Sus scrofa: one gene and its partners. The protein of the gene in region 3 purifies or fractionates together with the protein of the main gene of each other region. This does not show direct contact. Links are inferred from orthologs where the notes say so. Each region holds a gene or a part of one and is shown on either strand. Other genes may lie near its edges.

The links.
Region 1: the proteins of GIPC1 (region 3) and SH3BP4 purify together in Homo sapiens (affinity purification with mass spectrometry; 4 studies listed by BioGRID and IntAct, with this or other methods). This does not show direct contact. The link is inferred for Sus scrofa from reciprocal best matches to the Homo sapiens genes GIPC1 and SH3BP4.
Region 2: the proteins of GIPC1 (region 3) and ARHGEF12 purify together in Homo sapiens (co-immunoprecipitation; 4 studies listed by BioGRID and IntAct, with this or other methods). This does not show direct contact. The link is inferred for Sus scrofa from reciprocal best matches to the Homo sapiens genes GIPC1 and ARHGEF12.

Annotation. Positions count from the first base shown.
Region 1 is NC_010457.5:135,092,801-135,095,352, reverse strand, and holds the end of SH3BP4 (SH3 domain-binding protein 4), read right to left. Parts: intron 2,537-2,552; coding exon 2,312-2,536; 3' UTR 552-2,311; downstream 1-551. UniProt on the Homo sapiens protein: May function in transferrin receptor internalization at the plasma membrane through a cargo-specific control of clathrin-mediated endocytosis.
Region 2 is NC_010451.4:47,587,493-47,591,143, reverse strand, and holds part of ARHGEF12 (rho guanine nucleotide exchange factor 12), read right to left. Parts: intron 3,001-3,651; coding exon 2,788-3,000; intron 1-2,787. UniProt on the Homo sapiens protein: May play a role in the regulation of RhoA GTPase by guanine nucleotide-binding alpha-12 (GNA12) and alpha-13 (GNA13). Acts as guanine nucleotide exchange factor (GEF) for RhoA GTPase and may act as GTPase-activating protein (GAP) for GNA12 and GNA13.
Region 3 is NC_010444.4:64,778,977-64,783,265, reverse strand, and holds the start of GIPC1 (PDZ domain-containing protein GIPC1), read right to left. Parts: upstream 2,820-4,289; 5' UTR 2,709-2,819; intron 1,668-2,708; exon of another isoform or gene 1,572-1,667; intron 1-1,571. UniProt on the Homo sapiens protein: May be involved in G protein-linked signaling.

The DNA of each region.
Region 1 (2,552 bases), on a different chromosome or scaffold from region 3:
GGCCTGGCCTTGGGCTCGCTGGTGCCGAGGCAGCCTGGAGCTTGGATTCAAGTCACTTCTCAAGGAGGCCCTCCTGGCCCCACTCCTCCCAGCACCTGGTCTCCATCAGGGACCCGCCCCCAGTCCCTTCTCACCCTGGGCTACACCCCATACCTAGGGCACGGTGGGGGCAGGGCCTGGGGGAGTCCGGCTCTCACTAGCAACGGAGTCCTGGCGCACAGCCATGGTTCCATCCTCAGCTGTATTGCGGGTTTGGGATCTGCCCATTCCAGGTGCAAGAGACCAAGAAAATGGCAAGCCACCCACCTGCACCCTTTGGGTACGCTGGGCCACACTGATTCCCATGAGTCAGTGATGGCTGAGAGCGTGTATTTCAAGAGCAATGAAATTAACAGCTAGACAACAGATACCCGTGAAAGCAACTGTGCCACCATCATCCAGGGGCAATGGTGTGGGGGCAGGGGCACTGTTCTCCGCAAAGAGTTACGCCACGTTTTGTTTGTGTTTCCTTTAGAGGCTGCGTGGGGACAGAAGAACATACACACACTTAATTAAAATATCCAAAGAAAATTTACTGCAACTTTTGTAGAATCGAATTTTGTGCTACAAGACATGTTGCATAGGAAACAATTTAAAGCCCCTGAGGAAAAATATCCATATTTAAGGTGCGACTGGTTTGGTTTCTTCTTTGGGGGGAAAGTGAGAGATGCTCTCTGGGAAGACTGAAGGCGGAGAGTCAAGAAGCAGAAGGTCAGGTGACTTTGGGTGAGGATCGGCCGAGTGTGTGTCCAGGCTCCTGCAGAAGAAACGAGGCAGGGCTCTTTTCGTGGGTGTTTCTAGCTAGTTGGTCTTCAGTATCTGAATCAACAGCCTTCTAAGAGTGTTGCTGCCTGAGAGAGCATTTACATCAATGAGGCTAAGTAATTAACAGGCCTCCAGAAAGCGGACAGAGGGAATGACATTCAGGGATTCCAGATGGCCTAGCATCCCTCAGGTGAGCACAGCGCGTGTCCTGGCTCCTTCCTGGGGATCGACTCCTCAGATCCGCTGGAGTCTTCAGCCCCGCCCCTCACTCCCTCCTGGCGATGCAGCCGGAATTCAGCCCAGCACGCGGATCTGCAACCAGCGTTGGGAACTCAGTGGGCCCCACTGTATGCGGGAAATGTTTTCAGAAAACATTCATTTTGCTTGGGTAATCGTTACAGTGTTTTTTTTAAAAGAGACTTCCCTATGCTATTTACGTCCAAGGAAAGATGGACACACCAGGAGGCCAGAGGGGTGACGTTTTAGGTGAAATGGAGTTTGGCAAACGGCAGCGGACACCCCTGGCCATGAGCATTAGGTGCATGTGGGGTGGCGTTTTCTTCACACCCGGAGGCGAGGCTTTGAGCTCCGCAGGAAGCACTCCCCCTGCCTCCAGGGAGAAGCAGGACAGTGGCTTTAGAGCTTCGGGGACCCCCTCCCTCCAAATGGTGCAGCTCTTTTGCAGGACTGAAGGCCCCCGGCAGGGCGGGAGAGAAGGCTGCCTGCCCGCTGCCCGCTTGTCTCAAGGGCATAAAACTGGATTTCCCTCTGGCCGCTAAAGCTCAAAAAAGCCTCCCCTGTGCTGTGGCTGATCCTTTCCTGCGACACGGGGCCGATGTACAGAAGGTAAATAAAAACACGAGGAAAGCCAGGCCTAGGATGATCTCGGGAAGAATGGGTGAGGACCAGACTCTTGACTGAAACAGCACGGTTCCTGTTTGACTTCGTTTTCCGTACAGACCCCAGACGGCCCAACGCCTGAACGAGTGTCTTTCCGAGCTCAGTGTTGAAATGCCGAGTGTGCCTGGCAATTAGAAATGCTCCCACGACCCTTAAATACATATATACATCTGGAACATAATTTAAAAAGGTCTTTCGAGAACATAAAAACCTCAACAGCATCTGCCCCTATGAAGTGTTCTTTTTTTTTTAAATCTTTATGGTCCATTAAAAAATTAGGTATCACCTTTCTCATCGGCCCCTAGCCCCCCATACTTTAAAAAAAAAGTGATTTTAAATCTCAAGGTATAATTAACAAATAGAAAGCTATTTGATTGGCAACAACCTGCCGTAGCAATTCCCACGGCCCCTCCCCTGTGACAGAGGCGGTGAGTGGAGCGTTGCATGTGCTTGGTCCGGGGTGCGGGTCCAGCCGGGAGGGACCCTGGATCTAAGGGAGCAGCCGACCCTCCCTGTCCACCCCCAGCTCCATAGGACTGCGGGGCGTCCAGGGCAGACGGAGGGCAAGTGGCCCGCCCCGTGAGCAGCAGGAGGTGGAGGGACCCCTTCAAATCACATAGTCGTCCTGGTCCATGGGACTGAAGGCGGCTGCTCGGAGGACGTCCAGGGAGTTCACCAGGATGAGCGTCCCTGTGAGGTGTTTCCAGCGCTTGGTGATGGGGTTTTTCATCTTGTCCAGGCCCGTGTGCAGCTCCTGGATGACGTCGCGGTAGCTGTCCCCGATCTGGTGGCTCCAGGTGAGTAGAAAGTCATACGCGGGTTTCCACATGGCCTGGATGGGAGCGTGG
Region 2 (3,651 bases), on a different chromosome or scaffold from region 3:
GCTTCTTTATCTTTTCTGGAACACTCAGGGGAAAGTCAGCTACCACGTCATGGAACACTCAAGCAGTTCTATGGAGAAGCCCATGTGATGAGGAGCCAAGGCCCCCAGCAAGGAGCTAAGTCTTCCTGCCACCAGCCACCTGTGGAGGTACACAAGCAGGTCTCCTGGCTCCAAGTAAGCTCTCAGAGAGCTGGCTGACATTCTGACCACCACTTTATGAGAAACTCTGAGACCGAACCGCCTAGCTAAGCTGCCCTGGAGTTCCTTACCCACCGAAAAATGAGAAGCAGTAAATATGTTCTTGTGTTAAGTCATTACATTTTAGGGTAATTTATCGCAAAGTAATTGATGACTACTAAAACAGTTATTACACATAATAGTTACATTAAAACTTTTTGGTCCCTGCTCCTTTTTCAGAGCATCCTATGTGTTCTTTAGATATAATAACCTCATTAATTTCCTCAAGAATACTATCTAATTTAGAGGTATTTCCATAAGTTCTCATTTATTATCTAAATTATTTTCTGCTACTGGCAGTTTTTCTGTTTATTTTTTATTTTCTTTTTAATGCCACTAATATGTTTGGCGTTATGTATTATCTTAGGTCTTGACTCTTAACTTTTGCCAAAAGAAAGTAATGCTATTGGTATGTAAGAATGCAAAAATGGGCAGCTGATTGGGCTTTCTTGTTCTGCTATGTGGAAGTAGGTCCATCCCAGCTGGGAGCTCCTCTGATTAGGGTGAACCCCTTCGATGAATTCCAGGACACTAATCCCCTGGAGGACTTAACTCTCTACACAATTCTTTCCGCCTTGTATAACAAAGAGCACATCTGTTTTCTTCGGATGCATGAATGACAGATTGCTTATATCCTACAACGTAAGGATCAGAAGCTGCTGGTATACTTGTTTTGATTACAGATCTTCAATTAATTCATCATTTTCAGCTTTACTTCTTACTCGTACTCCACAACATATCCCAACTCTGAGCCCAAAGTCTCTCCTGAGTTCTAAAGGGAAGAATGGCTCCCATCATGGACCCAAACAAATTATGGGCTCTCACTTTATGTTGTTTTATCTATCAAATCACAGTTGCCCACTTTCAATCCTCCCCGCGCCCCAATTTCTTATTGACTGATATCTTCTCTTCTTCCACTTACTTTCTCTTTATGGTTTCATCTCAATGAGACATGAGAGCTAGGAATTAATGCATTACTCAATCCAACACCTTCAGAATTCCACATAAGGCAAAGCCTACAGACTTTTCTACAACTGTCACCCTTACTTTTTTGTCTTAAATTAAAACTTGCCTATCCCATGGAAGGTCACCTCTTCTGCTACAGCCATCTCAAACAGAGACTGATGTTTCAGTTGTGTACTATGTACTACAGAGTGGAGACAAGATAGATACCCTTCTTTTTCTTCAGTGCTACTTTTAGGCTACTATCTTACCCTCCTATAAAAATCCCTTGCTCCATTGAGGCTCTCACTTTCTGCATAATACCACATCTCCCCCTACCAACAAGCATCTAACAACCCTGAACCTTTGGCTGCTGACTCACCATTTTCCTCTCCATGATATTATAACATGAGGTGACCTCAAAATCTGTGTATATAAAGATATTCAAATCCTTGGCTCCTTGGTTCCTTACATCCATCATCTCTTGTAACCTCCCCTATACCACCTCGGTGACCACTTTCACAGATTTATCCTTGATCTTGTCATACCAGAAATTGAACTGCTTCCAAAATCACCACTATAATCAGGTCTATTCACCCAGCTCACTTTAGCTTAAGAAATCCTTGGAGTTCCCGTCGTGACACAGTGGTTAACGAATTCGACTAGGAACCATAAGGTTGCAGGTTCGGTCCCTGCCCTTGCTCAGTGGGTTAAGGATCCGGGCGTTGCCGTGAGCTGTGGTGTAGGTCGCAGACGCGGCTCAGATCCCGCGTTGCTGTGGCTCTGGTGTAGGCCAGTGGCTAAAGCTCCAATTGGACCCCTAGCCTGGGAATCTCCATATGCCGCAGGAGCGGCCCAAGAAATAGCAAAAAGACAAAAAAAAAAAAAAAAAAAAAAAAAGAAATCCATTACAACAAGTATGAATATAATAATAAGCTCTTTTCTCAATTACCTATAATAATTTCCTATTTTTCTTTACTCTTCAAATCCTTTTGCTCTTCTCACTAAACCCTCACTCTCAGCTAATAACCTCGCCCTTCACATACACTCTGCATCTCATTGCTTCTCTCCTTCTCAAAACTTTGTTCTATTGGTTATGTAGTTTACCTCCTGCATTTTCACTCTCTAATCTCTTCCTCTCAATTGGCTCCCCCTTAGTATTAAAAAAGAAAGAAAGAAAGAAAGAAAACTCCAGTATTTCAGCTTTTAAAAAAATGCTTCTGTAGATGTACCCCTCCCCATATATGCATATCTGCCTCTAGCTACTGACCAGTCCCCTCAACACTCCCCATAATTTGAATTTTTTATTTGTATGACTGTCTCCCCAGAAGATTAAGCTGCATGGGGCAAGAATTCATGAATAATTATTGTATACTAACTTCTGATACAATGTTAGTGCCTGACAGAGAGTTCCATAAATATTTTTTGAATGGATGAGAACTCAAAATTACTACCATTCAGTATAGATTTGTCACTAGTTATAAAATATTAAAATGTTAAAACTAAACTAAGACTCAGTCTTGATTAAAATAAGCTGCCACTCTATTCTTAGTGTAATTGTTTTAAAATCCTGATACTTAGTTAAGTTGAAATACAGCACTAGCTCACCCATATCATTCTCTTTCCCTCCCTCCTGGGAAAGAGTGGCCCCTGAAACCACAGAGGACGTGGAATTGGCTGGCAGGTATCCAACGTCTGTTCCTTCACTTGTTAATCCACTCTGGCGCAACTTAGCAGAATCTTGAGGTTCAGGACTCACAGAAGAGGGTGTGGCTAAATGCTTAGGGTGGCGCTGCTTCTGTAGTTCCATGGCTCTGCCAACTGAACAGAAAGTAATGGTTAACAATTTGTGTTGCAAAATAGCCAAAAAAGAAAAGATAATGAAAAGAATCCAGAAAAATATCTGGAATGTGGTGGGCCCTACAAAAATACACATGAATTATTCCACAGAGTGAGGAACAGATAGGTACAAATAAGAAGGAAGGGAGGAAGGGAGGAAGTGAAGGAAAAGAAAGAGAAAAGAGAAGGAAGAAAGGAGGAAAGAAAGAAAGTGAGAGAGAGAGAGAGAAAAGCAGGGAAGGTGGAGGAGGATGAGGAGAAAAGGGTGGGTGATGACAGAAGACAAGGGGGAGAGAGAAGAGGCAGAGGAAGAAGGGTCATGAGAAAAGGAGCTGAGGAGAGCAGTGGTGGGTGGGGGAAGAGGAGGTTCCAAGAGACAGACACATATGAAGCTGTATTCATTTCTATGACTGAAGATGAAGCCTTTTAGCTCTGTGAGTTCTTAGCAAACTTCTCCCCAACACTCACAACTGTATCATCACAGTACACCTCAGAGACTACGCAGAATAATCTCTATCCTGCTCATTATCCCTGCTCACATAAGTCACCATGAGAAACTAAAGACTCTCAGATCATCATCCTCACAGAGCTCTGTACATCCCTAATCCTAAAAGTCTTCCTTCCCTAATTCCC
Region 3 (4,289 bases):
TACCATGCCACTCCCTTGTATTTTATTCAAAGCACTTATTACCCTCTGCAAGTATCTTCTTGTTAAACTGTTTGTTGCCTGTTTTCCCCCCTTTCGAATGGCAACTCCCCATAAGCATGGATTTTTGTCTTGTTCACTATTATATCCTCTGTGCCAGGAACAGTACTTGGCACATAGTAGGTGCTCAATAAATATGTGTAGAATGAATGAATGTGTCTTAAACCCTTCATTCTGATTTCTCTGGAGCCCCTCTATCCCCAGAACATGCCCACTGTAGAGTTGCTAGCTGCCACCTCCTCACCATGTTCCTAGTCTCCCCTCAAACCTTAACACAGGGACAGAGGAAAAGGAGTTTAAGCCCAGGGCATTGAGCACATTCGCTGGAATCCCAGCATCCCCACCCTCTTTTCTCTGGGAAGGGCATGAAACTCAACAAGCCATAGTTATACAGAGTTGCAGTGAGGGGAGCAGGAAGTGGGGAAGGGGGTTCCTGGGAGCTCATACAAGCTGTAGGGGGTGGTGGGGAAACACCACACCCAGGCTCCCCTTTTCAGCAGGGTATTGCTTGGGAGAGGAAGCCGGGAGGCCTCTGATTCAGTCTTGAAAAACCGGCTCCTGGGTGTTTCCGGGGAGAACGCCTACTGTCCTGGGCCCAGGCTTCCCAGGAGGGCCTAGCAGGCACAGGACCCCACCGTGCTGCCTCCCCCACCCCCATCTACCTCTCCTTCAGATGTCACTTTCTTCTCAAGACCCTGATATTTTGTCCTTGCCTTTTCCAGTTTAGGGGAGAAGGGACATGAGGGCAGCTTCCTGTTTGAGCAGCTGGTGAAAGCAAAGACCAGCGGGTGTGGCCCAGATGGCATGTCTGGTTGGAGGGGGTAGAGTGGGAGGAGCTGGTCAGAAACACCTGAGCCTTGGAACCACTGGGCATCTAGTCTAGTGGTTGAGACTCCTGTTCTGGACTCTAAGGCATGGGTTTGAGTCCCAGATTTGCCACTCACTAGCTGTGTGATCTTGGGCAAGTCACTCTAGCTCTCTGGGTCTACCGCTTCAGCTCCGAAAGAAGCAACAGCACCTTCCATGAGGTGTTTAGATTCAATGGTAAATATGGCATGGTAAATAGCTGACACGGAAGTGCTCAATAAATGCTAGCCGGGTTATTTATTTTCATTATTTTTATCGGGACCTCGGTCCTCCCCAAGCCTCCTTAGGCCCAGGAAGATTGAGAAAGGCCAGCTGTGGAGAGTTGCCCAGGCAGGGCTCAGAAATACCGATCCCGCTCCTGTCCCCTCTGGGACGGGAACTGTCCAGAGTGCAGGGAGGTGGGATGCGGCTGGAGAGCCCATCCCGGCGGCGGGAGGCATTTACTCCTTCCTCCGGCAGGAAGGCAGGCGGCCCGCTGGGGAGGGGCCTCCGGCACCCCCTGGCTTAGTCTAGACCTCCAGCCTCGTTCCATAGGGCCGGCCCTACCTCGTAGGACCTGCCAGATCCCCGTGGATCTGCGATCCCACGGATCCGCGCTAGGGTCCCTCGAGCCGCCGCGATGCGCACCGCCCGCAGGGGACACTCACCTGCATTGCCGCCTCCCAGCGCGCGCCCTGCTTGGCCCTCGGCAAACTCTGGCCCGGGCCTCTCCAGCAGCACAGCCAGGGGGCGGGGCCTGTGCCCGCGTCCGGCCAATCAGGAGCGGCCGCTCGGCGTTCGCGGCCAATCGGCTCCACGCCCCCCGCTCCGGGTGGAACCGAAGGAAACATTCCAGAGGGATCCCTGAGCCTCGCCCGGCTCTTCACGACACCTCCCCCGCGCCACGGAGCATTGGATCTTCCCGCCCCTCCTAAGCCGCGGCGGGCTGTACCACCGCAAGGCTGCGGAGGGGGGAGCTGCGGCTGGGCCCCGGCCAATCTCAGAGAAGGAAGGAGGCCAGTGGCCAATGGAAAGCTGGGACTCCTGGACCACGTGCTGTTCGCTGAGTGTCCGGGTGGGGTGCTGTGGCTGGTAAGAAGCTGGGGGCTAGTCTTGGGAGTCAGGAGACCGAGACTGAGTTTCGCAGAGAGGATGAAAACTGCCGAAGTCCAGAAAACGGACCCGCTAGGAAATCCGGGAGGGAGCCAAGGGCAGCTTCAGATCCAGTCCTCCGCCCGGCCTGCCCCTGCCCCTGCGTGGCCATCCTCGGGGTGGATAAAAACACGCATTCATTCCGAGCGGGCAGGCGGGAGACTGAGATGAATAGGGAGGGTCCCGAGTGTCCCTGCATCTTGGATGGACAATGGACAAGGGCATTCATTCATTCATCCACTTATCAAATATTTAATGTGCCCCTGGTCCGTGCCAGTCTCTGTCCTATCTCTACAGACACACTGATGAGTAAGCTGAAAGAATGTGCTCCTGGTAGAAGGAACAGCGCGTGCAAAGACTTAGAGGGCGGACAGAAAGATACAGCACGCTTTAGGAGAGTACAGTACTGTAGGAGCTAGCAAAGCAGGGTGAAAGGGCAAGATGCCCTGTTCGCTCGTTGGTTGACCAGCGAATATTTATTGAGCACATACTATGTGCTGGATTACAAAGGGATACCCAGCCAACCCAAGCCTCTGTCCTCAGTTTCTTACATCTGACTGTTCTCCGCCTCCCTACCCCCACCTCCAGCCCCAGACTGGCACAGAGCAGGGTCTCCGTACATATGTGTAGGTAAAAGAACTGGGTAATCTCACCATCTCCAGGTTTGGCTTGTAACCAGGATTTCTCAGGCAGGAGCAGGTCCAAGAAACAAAGATACCAACACAACTTGCCCAGGCCAGGAAGCTCAGTTCCCAGGACAGGTGAGATTCCCTTGTTCCAGGAACAAGCCAGCCACTCAGGCAGCTGGGGCTGGACCGTAGTTCACTGTGTGTTCTGGGAATTGTAGTTCTTGGAGACCTAACTTCTCAACCCTCATTGAACGATTGGCTCTTTGCAGTTCCCTGGATGAGATGCTGAGCGTTCCAGCCCTGCTAGGGCCTGCAGAAGGACAAAGTAAAAAGGGAGCTTGAGCCCTGGACTTAGCTGCTGAGGTCTGCCCAGGCAGCCCCACCCAGCTGGCAAATACCGAGACTGCAGAGGCAACAGGGACAGCTAATGTCCTTCTCTTCCTGTTCTGCTGACCTCTGCCACGCCCACTGAGCGATCAGTTGCCTCTGGCTAGGCCTGTGCCCTCTCTGGGACTGTGTCCACTGCCCTGCTTATGCCTGGCATCTAAGCTGCTTCCTAAACACCTGGAGAGGACAGTATGTGGGCTGTGGGCACAGCAGAGTCCTGAGCGGAATCCACATGATTCTACCTGTTGATGAAGAAGTGCCCAGGGAGGGGTGAGGGCAGGGGCACAGAGCAACACGGGGCATCTCCTTCCTACTTTGTGGGACTTCAAAGTTTCTCCAAGGAAATAAAATTCAAAAAGCCTCCAGCCAAGATAAGAATTACCAAACCCTTATCATCCCACCTGTCTCACTGTAACTGTTACAATGTTCGTAAGGACCTCCCCACCCCAGCAACTTGGCCTACTTCTTGCTCCCTACTAGGAAAGGTATGTGGCCCACTCCTCACCTCTTCCCCTTGATCAACCTGGCCTACTCCTTCCTGCCCCCCACTAGAAAAGGTATGTAGCCCACTCCTTACCCCACCCCTTTAGGGGCAACATATGGCCCCAAACTACCAGCAGGTGTATCCAAAGACCCTGTCTTTCCCCAACCAACCAGCAAGTGTATCAGAAGACCTCATTCTTCTCCAACCAATCACTAGGTCCTCAGGTGTATGGCAAGACCGCTTCTTTGTCTTTGGGCTATAAAAACAGACACAACCATGCCCCCAGGGTCTGCTCTCCCTGAATATCAGGAAGTCGACCTGATGTGTTAACAGTGTCTCTTGCTTCAATATACTTGTCTTTTCTACACCTTGCTTTAAATTTAGAAAATTACTTTTCCACCCACGTGCAGAGACCACAACATACTTGATTTTATAGCTCAAGAAGCTAGGAGGCTCAGTGGGTGAGGAGGTCAGATTTGAGTGCTACCTCTGCCCCTTTTAGGGGGTGGGGGTGGGGAAATAATTCTGGAATGCCAACTAAGACATGAAAAAGCAAATGCTGTGTTTGAAAAAAATCACCATTTTGCAACAAACAGAGGAATGATTGATTCAGGCAATGCTTGTCGATGGAGAAGTGGGTATTCAGTCTCAAAGGACCAGCCCACAGATTACTTGTTAATTTCAGTGGCAAAAAGGTACCTTGGAAAAACACAGTGGAGAAACCTGAGAGTCAC